Neodiprion lecontei: one gene and its partner. The protein of the gene in region 1 purifies or fractionates together with the protein of each later gene. This does not show direct contact. Links are inferred from orthologs where the notes say so. Each region holds a gene or a part of one and is shown on either strand. Other genes may lie near its edges.

Evidence for each region.
Region 2: the proteins of cell division cycle protein 123 homolog (region 1) and eukaryotic translation initiation factor 2 subunit 2 purify together in Homo sapiens (affinity purification with mass spectrometry; 4 studies listed by BioGRID and IntAct, counting the BioPlex papers as one, with this or other methods). This does not show direct contact. The link is inferred for Neodiprion lecontei from reciprocal best matches to the Homo sapiens genes CDC123 and EIF2S2.

The regions. Positions count from the first base shown.
Region 1 is NC_060264.1:36,452,790-36,459,099, reverse strand, and holds cell division cycle protein 123 homolog, read left to right. Parts: upstream 1-2,061; 5' UTR 2,062-2,194; coding exon 2,195-2,431; intron 2,432-2,583; coding exon 2,584-2,685; intron 2,686-3,088; coding exon 3,089-3,311; intron 3,312-3,456; coding exon 3,457-3,582; intron 3,583-4,120; coding exon 4,121-4,380; intron 4,381-4,450; coding exon of another isoform or gene 4,451-4,525; exon of another isoform or gene 4,526-4,588; intron 4,589-4,595; coding exon of another isoform or gene 4,596-4,640; exon of another isoform or gene 4,641-4,875; intron 4,876-4,915; coding exon of another isoform or gene 4,916-4,951; exon of another isoform or gene 4,952-4,971; coding exon 4,972-5,046; 3' UTR 5,047-5,638; downstream 5,639-6,310. UniProt on the Homo sapiens protein: ATP-dependent protein-folding chaperone for the eIF2 complex. Binds to the gamma subunit of the eIF2 complex which allows the subunit to assemble with the alpha and beta subunits.
Region 2 is NC_060261.1:38,616,228-38,621,995, forward strand, and holds eukaryotic translation initiation factor 2 subunit 2, read left to right. Parts: upstream 1-1,985; 5' UTR 1,986-2,140; coding exon 2,141-2,158; intron 2,159-2,752; coding exon 2,753-3,013; intron 3,014-3,257; coding exon 3,258-3,411; intron 3,412-3,485; coding exon 3,486-3,518; intron 3,519-3,786; coding exon 3,787-3,977; intron 3,978-4,237; coding exon 4,238-4,522; intron 4,523-4,602; coding exon 4,603-4,647; 3' UTR 4,648-5,074; downstream 5,075-5,768.

The DNA of each region.
Region 1 (6,310 bases):
AATGGCCTGGTCCGAGCCATGGTGTCGTCCTTTAGGTACCCGTTTGAGTCAGGGGAAGAGACAGAAGTCTGGGGGAGCTACGTCTGGGCGGTAGGGTGGCTGGAGACTTTTGATCATTTCATGGGTTGCACTCGCGGTTTTACCGAGTTCGATGCAAGACTTGCTTGCGCAATGCTGCTCGATTACACGGTTCATCGTGAAGCGCGACGAGACACCTTGACTGGGGTTCACTTTAAAATCGACCTATACTCTGGAAAGGCTGGAAGGCGATTGGGGATCTGTGCGCTGCTTAACTAACACCCGTATTCATAATCCTTCGTTGAAGAACAAGGATTCCTTGGAATAATCTGGATATGATGACTTGCAGCGTAGATTGGTGAGAGGATTTAACGAAATGACTGATTTTAATATATTTGGATACTTTGATTAACTTGGATTTATTTCATAAGTTCAATATTTCGAGTCACAAAAACGGAGTTACTCAGAGTAAGATCTTAAATTAATATGACAAAATGGAGCTGAAAGCTCGCTGGACTTTTGGGCAGAGTAACGTTGTATGAAAAGTTTAAATGCAAAAGACAAAAGGATTTTACCGCGAGACTGTACCGGCACAAGATGACGAATCTGGTGGTAGAAACCAAGAGAACGATCCGATGATCGGTCGCCGTTTTTATAGGTGTTGATCGTTGCGCAAAACGATCCCCTTCCTTAGATTTTGTCAACTTTTGCGCACCTTCCCCTTTCTTCTAGGAATTAGAATTAGGCCACGACATAATATGGTAATCGTAGTGCGTATGCGCTAGAGGTGACCCATGTTTCGTGGTGTACGTTAGTGCCTTGTGCACTTTTGGAGTCACGATGCGCTGAATTCTAGTCATAGCTTACTTCTTAAATATTCTTACTATCCTGTTCGTTACAAAGTCTGTATATTAAGATTGTCATATCGGTTACTCTTCGTTTTGTTAGTTTTATAGCGTGTAAATATGTGAAATTGCATGTGTGTTATAATTGATTACTGTCGTTATTCACCTGGAGTACAATAGCGATTGTTTATGAGACATAGTTGCTATTTGCTTAACATTATTAGAATCGCGCTGCTGCGAATATTCTTAGGTTTTTGTGTTATAACTATCTTAACAGATTTAGGGTATTTAACAATTTGATAATTGGTAGTCTTAGAGCAGGTTTGCATGTGTGCTTTCGTATATAATTCTCTTTTGTAATTATTAATTCTTATATTAATATAAATCGGCTTGGAAGCTTCTAGAACGTTTTTCTTAAGTTTGTTGGTTGCCTGTTACTGGGCGTTGCCACGTATGCATCTTTGAGTTTATTGCGAGTTGATTTACCTTCAATTGTTTCGTCGTTAAGTTTCGTAATGTATTCTCTAGATGGAGCTCTGTATGGCTCCACATTGGAGATCTGCATGGCTACAAAACCTGCGCGTGTTGTCTACAATACGGCGTTACGGAGGAAAGTATAATTCATGCTGGATAATTAGTATTCACGGTTTCGAAGGTTTTGCAGTCTCTGGTTTTATGGATTATTGCAGCAGTGCTATCTTTACATTATATTGGTCATACATTTATCTAGGGTTTTACAGTCTTTTATACTCCAGGCTATGTGGTATAGCGTAAGTTGCTTATAGTGTAACTCTCAGTGTCGAATTGCACAAATGGCATTGTCGAGTGTTATAGAATAATTGTATATAATGGTGTTAGTTAATTATGGTGTTAATATGATAGTGATATATAATAACGTATAATAATATTATAGCTCTTTGTAGTGCGAAGATCTCGTAACATGGTTTTTAAGCTTTGGTTAGTGAATGTCATAGGTATTTCCATCTAGGGATATTCCAAATAGTTAGACAGTGGTTTTAATACCTTATGGTTACAAGATTCTCGTACTTCGAGTTTGGTTGGTTGATAAAAGTGACATGCAGTCATAATAGTCGATAAAACATACGGACATTCCGGTCGGATGTTACAATACAACGACACGGTGACGCCAGCGCCTCAGACTACTGGGGTACCGAACTAACTCAGTACCCCAGAACGCGAAAACCTTAAGAACTGCTCGTCTATGTATCGTCTGAATTTGTTGGTAATAATATTACATCGTGCCTCTACCCTTCCTAGATCTAACGACTGATCCGAAAACTTCCATTTCTATCGGAGATTGTCTATAGAAAATGATTGCCGAGTGTTCGTTTAGCGTTTGGTATCCGTTGTTCGGCAAAGAGTCATTGGAGGCTGTCACCGTCCCGATACCAGATGAGGTTATGGCGTACCTGGAGCATGAGTCGTTTCGATTACCTGTAGAGGCGCGAAATTATTCGAAATCATGCAGCTCGAGATGGTCCGACGGTACTTTGGTACTACCGAATGACAACGACGACGTTCACCTAGACCAAGCACAATTCACGAATGTGAGTCTGATTGCATCCTCTCGGACTTGTGCTATCTTTAACTGCATCTAAAGACTGGCTCGTTTCAAGGAAACCTATCACATCAGGCCATCTTGCCGATCTGTGTTTCCATCATCTTTACTAATAAATGTATGAATAATATGTTGTTACAGGATTTAAGCGAGCCGTCTTATCCGATGTTCAGCAATCAAATTAAGGATGTCCTTAACGAATTTGGTGCAGTGTTTGTTAAATTGAACTGGAGCGCACCTTTGGTGAGTGGGCTTTTTCCATTCCCAAACGAAATACTCTATGCAGTAGCGGTAAATGAGATGAAGTAGAAACTAAGCTAGTTTTATGGTCTGTAGGGTGATTTGTTCGTTGCTAAACACAGAGTGCAATTGATGTAGCCTTTCAACCTGGCACCTGCGTAAGCGGTTTTCTCTCTCACTTGGGTCTAGCGTTGAGCAACGAATAAATGAGCCTGTATATCCAACTAGAATAGGTACCAGTTACATCCGTTGAAAAAGCACTGCATGTCTGTCTGACAGCCAGAGATTGATATCCGTTTCGCTATTGGTAATTTTTGAAGAAAAAATAATGTAACAAAATAGCAGGCCCTAAAGGTGTAATTGATCAAATCTGTAGTGAAATATAGCAGTTTGGTGACTTTTGAAGGATGCAGCATGGGTTGCCCCTACAAAAACACTAAGATGCACAACCTTGGAAGAAATCTATCTATTGCTCAAAAGTTCAGATCGATTGGTAAAAGACCTGAATCAGCTACAATCCTTAAAGGATAAGAAGGTGAATGTGCCACCCTGCCTGGTCTTGAAGAAATGGCGTGAAATAAATCCCTGTGCAGAGTTTCGTTGCTTTGTGATAAATGGCGAGCTTGTTGGTAATCGATGTATTACATATAATGATTAACTTCTATTTTATATAATCGTGAAGATTGTAATAAATAGCCACTGTTAAAATTTTGGACAGAGCAACTTTGATGATTTGTCCCTTCTGCAGCCGATAAGTATTTCAAATTATTTCAGGAATTTGTCAGCGAGACCTATCGCAATATTATCTGTATATCGAAACGGAGAAGTATGACATACGCCAGGATATTAAGAGTTTATTCCATGAACGGATAAAGAAGAGATTTGAATCATTGACAAATTGTAAGTATAGACAGCAGTCCACCTTGAATGACTATAAATACATAATAGAAAATAAAAGTGTAGATTCTACTCAAAACTGTTGAAAAAGAGGGACATATTATGTGTTTTGGTAAAATATACTTGTAAAATGCAGAATTTCGTCCTAAATTAATGAAAACCACTGTGTGCAGCCTAAGATGTGCTACATTTATAGTAAAAAATACAATAGGTATGGGTATTTTTTATTTATTTTTTTTCACCGCAAAACTTAATGTGTCCCTCTTTTCCTGTGGTTTTGAGTAAAATCTGCTTTCATTCTTTCCTTGTAAAGCTACTAATTATCACAGACTTTTATAGATGTAAACTAAACTGCTAGCATAAATAAAATTATAAGCAAATTATTTTTGCCAAGTATGGTGCGCATAGATGAGTATTTGGTTTAGGTGCAAAACATTGAAGTGATTTTTTGAGCTTCTTCTCCAGCAGTTCAAGTTATCATACAGAAGTTTGTGTGACTTCTCTCTACGTTGCAATTACAATGAAGCCTTTATCTTTCCAGATGTATTTGATGTGATTCGTCACAAAAAAGATCATGTCAAAATAATCGATTTTAGTCCGTACGTCCCAGGTAGCACAAAGACCCTGCTATTCATGAAGGAAGAACTTAATGGACCCATTTTCAATCCCCCAGAGTTTCGCCTTATTGGTGAAAATGTTGCAATTCAACCTAATGACGCAAGCACTTTTTGCATTCCAAGAGAAATCAACGAGTTCTATCAGACCAACAGTTCACAGTCTATGATGGATATCATTCAGCAAGTAAGTTTCAACTATTACGACACTATTAAAAAGTACCCTGAGAAGTCAATTCTGATATTTCGTGATGCAGGTAACCTGGCGTTATCTTATCTGTCGTGCCATCTTCGACAAAAGCCTAATAATTTCAAGTTCAGCTTACTCCTGACATCTTGTATGAGCCTAAATGTATCAACCATGACTCAATCTGAATACAAAAGCGTACCTATTTTATATAGATTCTATTCAAGAACCATATTATATGTGAAACTAAAACTGCATAAGCAGTTATAGGGAAACACGGGAATTTTTTGGTACTGGAAGAAGCAGAGAAATAACTGAGAGTTTGTCTTCAAACTTCAGAGTACCTATTCTGTGAAAGTAATTTTAATCATTCGTTCTACATGGTCGAAATAATATCAAAAATATTGATCAGTCATTGGTGAAATGTTTGGGTCAGGGATAGACTTGATTTAAACCGAGATGACCGTCGCAATAGTCATATGCCTCTAAGCTTACTGAGGTCGAACTACAATAAGGTCAACAATACTGTCTTTAGGGTATGGTTAACATCTTAACTAACCAAAAGAACTAAACAGCTGTTGAACTCAACAGGAAGTTCACAATCAGAATGAGCTGTGTGAAATGAATAAACATCCAAATCGATCTACTGATGAGGATTACCAGTGATGGAAGTACGAAGATTTTGTCTACAATTACTGTTTTCGCCTAAAGTGCAATTACTTACCCATTATTACCAGTTACAGGTAAATGTTGTGACAGTTATTCATTAATGCTGCGGCTAGCCACTTCATCTCTTGTAAGTCTGCATCTGCCATTGACTGACATACATTTTTCTTATTGTGCACAGTTTTTTCACTCAATGTAGTCGATTATTTTTCACTGAAGCTCAAAAATCATTATTTTCAAAATGTTTGCTCATTAAGTTAATTACTTAATTGTATAAAATACACTATCATTGACTCTGCTCAAATAGTGCGTGATTCAGCGAACAAGATGTTATGTCATGCTTTCGGCAGATTCATTCATAGAATAATCGAAATACCTGTTGTATGTCATCCACTGTTGGCAATTACAATAATATAATGTTTTATGTACAGAAATATGTGAAAAGAATTAATAAATCTGACTCTGTTGTAATATACTTATTTTCAAGTGTTTGCGATTACGCTCAACCTTTGTTCTGCCATCCTACATTGTGCTCAGATTACAAATACATACAAGCTAATAGAGAATGAGTTCTATGAAGCTACCATATAGATTTAGTTAGAAAAAATCATTTGCACCAAAGTTCCTGAATTTCAAAGACATTACTTTGCCTACTTAGTTAAACTTTGCTTGGCTAAATATTTTTTGTTTTTTGATAACAATGTGCATCATGACGCTTCCAATTGTTAGTCACCATACGACAACAACCAGAATTGAAAAACAAAAAATCGGTCATTACTCTACGACTTTCTTTCAAATCACATGAAATTTTATAAAAAATTTGTTGTATGACATCGCGTTATTCATCTAGCGACCTTGCAAGTTTTGTTATAATTTTCCAAATCTCGAAATAGTAGAAATAATTTAAGTTGTTCAGATTAAATTGGGAAAAATAATGAAATTTCATTATCAGTTGAAGATGTGCTGTGGAAATTTTCATACCTCGTAACAATTTCCAATTTAGGCAACTCCCAGTGCCGAAAGTGCAAGCTTTGCAGTTATAAATTTAATCACGATCTTAATCGCGCGTGTAACCGTTTATTCCAATAATTCGAGTTGCGATTCTAGGATTTCATTTAAATAATACTAACGGACTTTTTTTTAAGTTTACATAATTTTAGGCGTTGCAGGAATTCCACGACACTGCCGAAGCACACCGGAAGAACACTCAACAGATTAAAACTAGACTTAGATGGCAAATTTCTCAAATGCTACAAAAACTTTT
Region 2 (5,768 bases), on another chromosome or scaffold:
CTGAAGTAATGTGAGCAAACTGGATAGTTTTAAAAATGAATTTGGGTAATGAAAGACACAAATGAGAAACGCTTGTGACTATAACAATTTCTGTTTACGAATTTTACGACCTTTATAATACCAGTAAATATTTTTCGATACATCGGAATTTCGAGCTAACCTTGAAATCATTCACAAGTATATCGAAGACTGGGAAATTAGAAAATCAATCGAAGTGCGAGTTACTGCAAGTACATGCGATTGTTATACCCCATGTAGCAAGGCAAAACATAACCAATAATGGAAAACTCTCTCGCGTTAATTTCACCACTGTAAACAATTGTAATATTTGATGTGTCACACCACGAACCTTTCACACTCTCTATTTAAGACGTAACTAGCGTTATAATAACGTTTGCAGCGAGCAGAAGTCACTTTTTCGGTGTTATTATTTTACAATCGGGTTACATTTTATCATAAAATTCAGCGCCCAGTTTTTTCAGTTTTCTTATTTTCATACAAACAGCATTCAAATAAACTTTCCATAACATGCATGTACGTACACTCCGCATCGAGGAACGTTTCTTTTTTTTATTTTTTTCAAATAGGCGATATTTTACCTTATATTCTAATGAGGAAATATATTGCACGAACTAAATGCGGTTAAAAATGAGACCGTTGTATCATATATCCGCCTACTGTCATCAACTGTCACATTGTCGAAGAAATATTCAGCCGCTGTGCAACTAAGCTCCCGACAAACATATCGAGCAGCAATATCCGTATAGTTTCGGTACATCCAATACCCACTCTAATACGGCACTACACGTATGTCGTACGATGTACGCATTCGTGCATAGAAATGGAATAGTCAAATAGTGTAGCGCGACGTACGGTTGCGTGCACTACTTTAACTCCGCAGGAACCAGCGGAAGGCAGCGGGCAACAACACCAACTGTTTTCTCCTCTGATTTTAGCTTTGAGTTCGAAACTCACGGTTCGAACGCGATTGAAATCGCCTGTTGGCGATTGGTAAGTACTTATTCGCCTTTGCGCAAGCGACTTGCGAACGGCGCAACTGCGGCTGGCGGGCGCCGTCGGTTCAATTCGATAACAAGAAACTCATTGCCCAGGTAACTCCTGCAGTCGTGACTGCGTATAACCAGCAGCGATATTTGACGAAATCAATTCGTCTGCACAAATTTACCGAATGAGCTAATATTCACGACCGTGCAATGATTTTTCTACGACTCAGACGCTCAAAATTAACGGACATTACACTTCCGGGAACTGGGTATAACATGACTAGAACATCGTGTGGTTCAAGTTTATCAAGTTTAATTACAGTATATAATTTGTAGTTATAAATCGGAGTATGGATATACTAGTAATTTTATTCGGATACGGATAAGATATAGTTTGGAATTACGTTTCAAACGACGAAAATAAACAAAAAAAAAACAATCACAGGGAATCGAAAGTCGTGATGTTGTCAATATAATAAAATTATTGATACTGCATACTGTACTGACTAGCGCTTAAGCTGAATGTATGAGATAACACATTCTTCTGACCCTAATTACGAACAGGATGCGACCAGAGGACATACAGTTATGCACTGCAAAGCTGAATTCCTTCTAATTCGACCATATTATTCTCAACGCGTACTGAAAATGAGAAATATAATATTTTCACGTAAGGAATCGAGACGCATTTTTCGAAGCATCATTCGTCTCAATATAGATGCATTTTGCCGCGTACTAAAGTAGGTACTCAAACTAGCCGGCAAGGAGTACTCGCATCTCGTTTTCACTCGTCAAATTTAACTGGAAACGACGTAGGCGTGCCTGAACTTCACTCTGATGAGCCGTCAGAGCTTCACGGACTTGTCGCGCCCTCAGCACGTGGCAGCAGCTGTCGGTCAGACACCGGATTTTGATGGAGGTTTCTACCAATCGGGTGCTTTCGCTTCCCACCGTATTGCTATTTTGCGTGCTTTGATTCGCCGATTGATCTCTTGTACCTGCATGTGGCACCGAGAGAATATTCTGATGCAATAGACGTCAGAAAGTATTTTTCATTCTTCCGACAAACCAGTTAAATATATTCTCGAAATAACCAAATTACGTACAAAAAGAAAAGTTCTCTGTTTCTTATCAACATGACCGAAGAGGATTCGGTATGTATTTAATGAACCAATATTTGTGACTGGATAAGGTTCACTAACAGTGCACAGATTGAATGGCACAACGTGTTCCCATTTACGCATTTTTCATATATTACACGCTTCTGTAGCCATTTATTCCCCCGAATGTGGTGAATATTGCTTGGCTTTACGTCCAGTTTACATGACTCGAATCAGAAATTTTTTAATAATACATCGCAAACACAACCTCAATCCTGTATCAACGTATCACGGATTTTCAGGCAGATTTCCATGCGTCCACGTGATCTGTGTGGTTGTGGTCTGAGTTACAACAATCATTCTTGATATCCGTGATAATTTGGATAAAGCGATAAAATAGAACTATAAACACCCTTCTTGCGTATTGCATGATGTATCATCCATTCATTTTTTTCCTGCGTAATACTTTATACCGATAATAATTCATAGGATAATCAATGCTTCTCAAGCTAAAAATATGCTTATATTTATTCATCGTCGACGGTACTTATATTTTTCTCAATAACAGTATGATTTTATAGATTCGTTTCCCCTGTGATTTTCACCATATAGATGGGACTGATAGTTAATGAAACTTAAATTTTTCAGATCTTTGATCCTACTATGAAAATAAAGAAGAAAAAAAAGAAGAAGACTACTTTCGATCTCGATGCTGCAATGGCTGAGGGCGGCAGCGGTGGTGAAGCCACCGAGGGCATCGGTGATAAGGAAAATCAAGAGCCAGAATTGGGAGCGATAGATGACGACGAAGGCCTTGATCTAGAAAATTTTGGTAAAAAAAAGAAAAAAAAGAAGAAGGCATTCAATCTAGATGAACTCGATATGGCTCTCCCAGAAAGCAAGAAGGAAGTAGGTGTTACGTGCCGAATGATTTGAAAGTTATATGAATTTTATTATAGCGATGAAATGAAAGTCTATAATTGTTGAATTCTTGTGTTCGCTGTTTTTATGGAACATGATTTAAAGATATAAAAACATAACACAAGAAATACATCTCGAAAGACATAGCTGCGATTTCTTGAGTGACTTCAGGATCGCAGATTCATTTGGTGAAGTGATTTGACATTTTGAATACTTACCCTATTATCTTAAGGATGGCGCAGAGCCAATCGGTGAAGATGGGCCTGCGGAAAGTAACTTTGACCTGGATATGGAGTTCTCGGGCAAAAAGAAGAAGAAAAGGAAGAACATTCTCGATAACCTAGTAGCTGAAGAGGAAAAGAAGGAAGCAGAAGATAGGGAAAATGGTAAGTATTGAGACTAAACTCTGAAAAAACTATTTTGCTACGAGTTGCTTATCGTGTATTCTATCTGTTAACATGCTTCACTGAATCTGAGCGAAGTGTAGAAACTGGTAAGACACGTTGGTCGACTAGATAACGACTAGTATTTGTTTTTGCACTAAAATGCTTGTTTTTATGCTTTCTTAGCCGTTTGTGTCACAATTCTACTTTCGCTGTTTAGTTTAATATTTACCTTTTCGTGTCACGTTTGTACTTGCTACAAAGTAGTAAACCAAAATAGGGAAGTATTAAATTTATATTTTGTTTCTCATGGTAATGCTATTAAGAAATTTGTTACCACTTTAGTCACATTTTGATGACTCTTTTCCATTGTACCAGTCGAGGACACCACGTCGTGGCTTGGTTCAGACAGAGATTACACATATGATGAGCTACTAGCCAGAGTATTTGAAATAATGAGAGAGAAAAATCCTGACATGGTGGCTGGAAAGAAGCAAAAGTTTGTCATGAGGCCCCCGCAAGTCGTACGAATCGGCACCAAGAAAACTTCTTTTGCAAACTTTACTGAGGTATTGAATTGTTTAACTTTTTGATGTAATAGTTTTAAAACTAAATGCATGGGAATAATCAATATGTCGATACCCTACTTGCGAAAATTTGAAACAAAGTGACTTTTTTTTTTTCCTTCTTTCATTTTTTCATAGATTGTAAGTATATTCTCGCAAAATATTCAAACCTGAAGCCCTCACCAATGAATTACAATTTGCCATAGTCTGCAGAATACCCTTTTGTCTGAAAAATTAAACGGACCCTTTATTATCTTTCCCAGATTTGTAAAACACTGCACAGACAGCCGAAGCACTTACTGGACTTCCTACTGGCTGAACTGGGAACCAGTGGATCTGTTGATGGCAATAGTCAGCTTATTATCAAGGGTCGCTTCCAGCAAAAGCAGATAGAGAATGTACTAAGGAGATACATCAAGGAGTATGTTACGTGTCACACGTGTCGCTCCCCTGACACCATATTGCAGAAAGATACTCGGCTATTCTTCCTTCAGTGTGAATCGTGTGGGTCTAGGTGCTCCGTCGCTAGCATCAAATCTGGTTTCCAGGTAATTTATGAACAAATTTTTCGTTTCATCTACTGGACAATATACAACAGTTGGTATTGACATTTGTTTTTTGCTTTCAGGCTGTGACTGGAAAGCGTGCGGCTATCAGAGCAAAAACGACTTAGACACACTTATGGTGATAATGAGCGCGAAAGAAAACACAAACCCAAAATTATCACGTACGTTATTATTCTCAATAGAAAAAAAGTTAAATAAAACATTCAATACATACAAAGAGCTGCTGAATCGAACTTTTACAATAATTTTACCGCGTACGTAAATGTAAAGAGTGTATGTTATGTACTGTACCTTTTGTCACCTTGTACATAGCCTTACTACAATAATAATAATAATAATCAAGGTTTTAAATAAAACGCTGTTCAAACTGCAATTCGTAAAAGTAATGCTAAGAAATATTATACTAAATCAATTTCCAACAGTTGCAATATATAATCAGATGAATTAAATTGATGTCATGAAGTGTTCACGTTCGTTTCTTATAGGTAATGTACACATCTGTATTTACTAGCCAATAAATTCATCTCAAAATCATCTACGTTGAATATTCTCATAAATGTTTCTGAAACTTGAATTTATTAATTTATCATGTCTAAGTTTAAATTCAAAATATCCGAACAGTGCAACGTAAGCAGCGATCAGGCTTCGGGTCAGGTTAAATGTACGCGACAATCATGCCATAATTACATTGTCACTACATGATATCGAGTGCATGGCGATATAAGTAACCAGTATGGAAATTTTCCACCGCTAAAATGACAGTTGTGAGTAAATATTTACAAATACATTGTACGAGTTGATTGGACAAAAGTAGAATATATTCATATTTATTTATGTCATGCCATAAATGTATTGTACTGAACATAGATCCAGAACCATTTTCATACTAATCGTCAATTTTTCGTTGACGTGATTCTGCGAAAGTGAGTGGTGGCGTCGCTGTATGTATAAACAATCGCCAATCGGTAAATCGTCGAGACGTCACCATCTTGAAAATTTACCTCCAGTTTAACCGCCGAAACTTTGCGTGCTATTCGCGTCTTGATATTCAGTCCTTGTTAAAATGAAAAAAGTTTGCAAGGATATTTCGGCCCGTATATTTGATCATTTGCGTGATGGGGAATTCACGCGGCGTATAATCTGTCAATTAATACCGCGAAGCGCTTCAGCTAATGAAGTCTGCCGATTCAATTTTCATTCGTTGTGACCTGAAGTAAGGTAAAGTTAT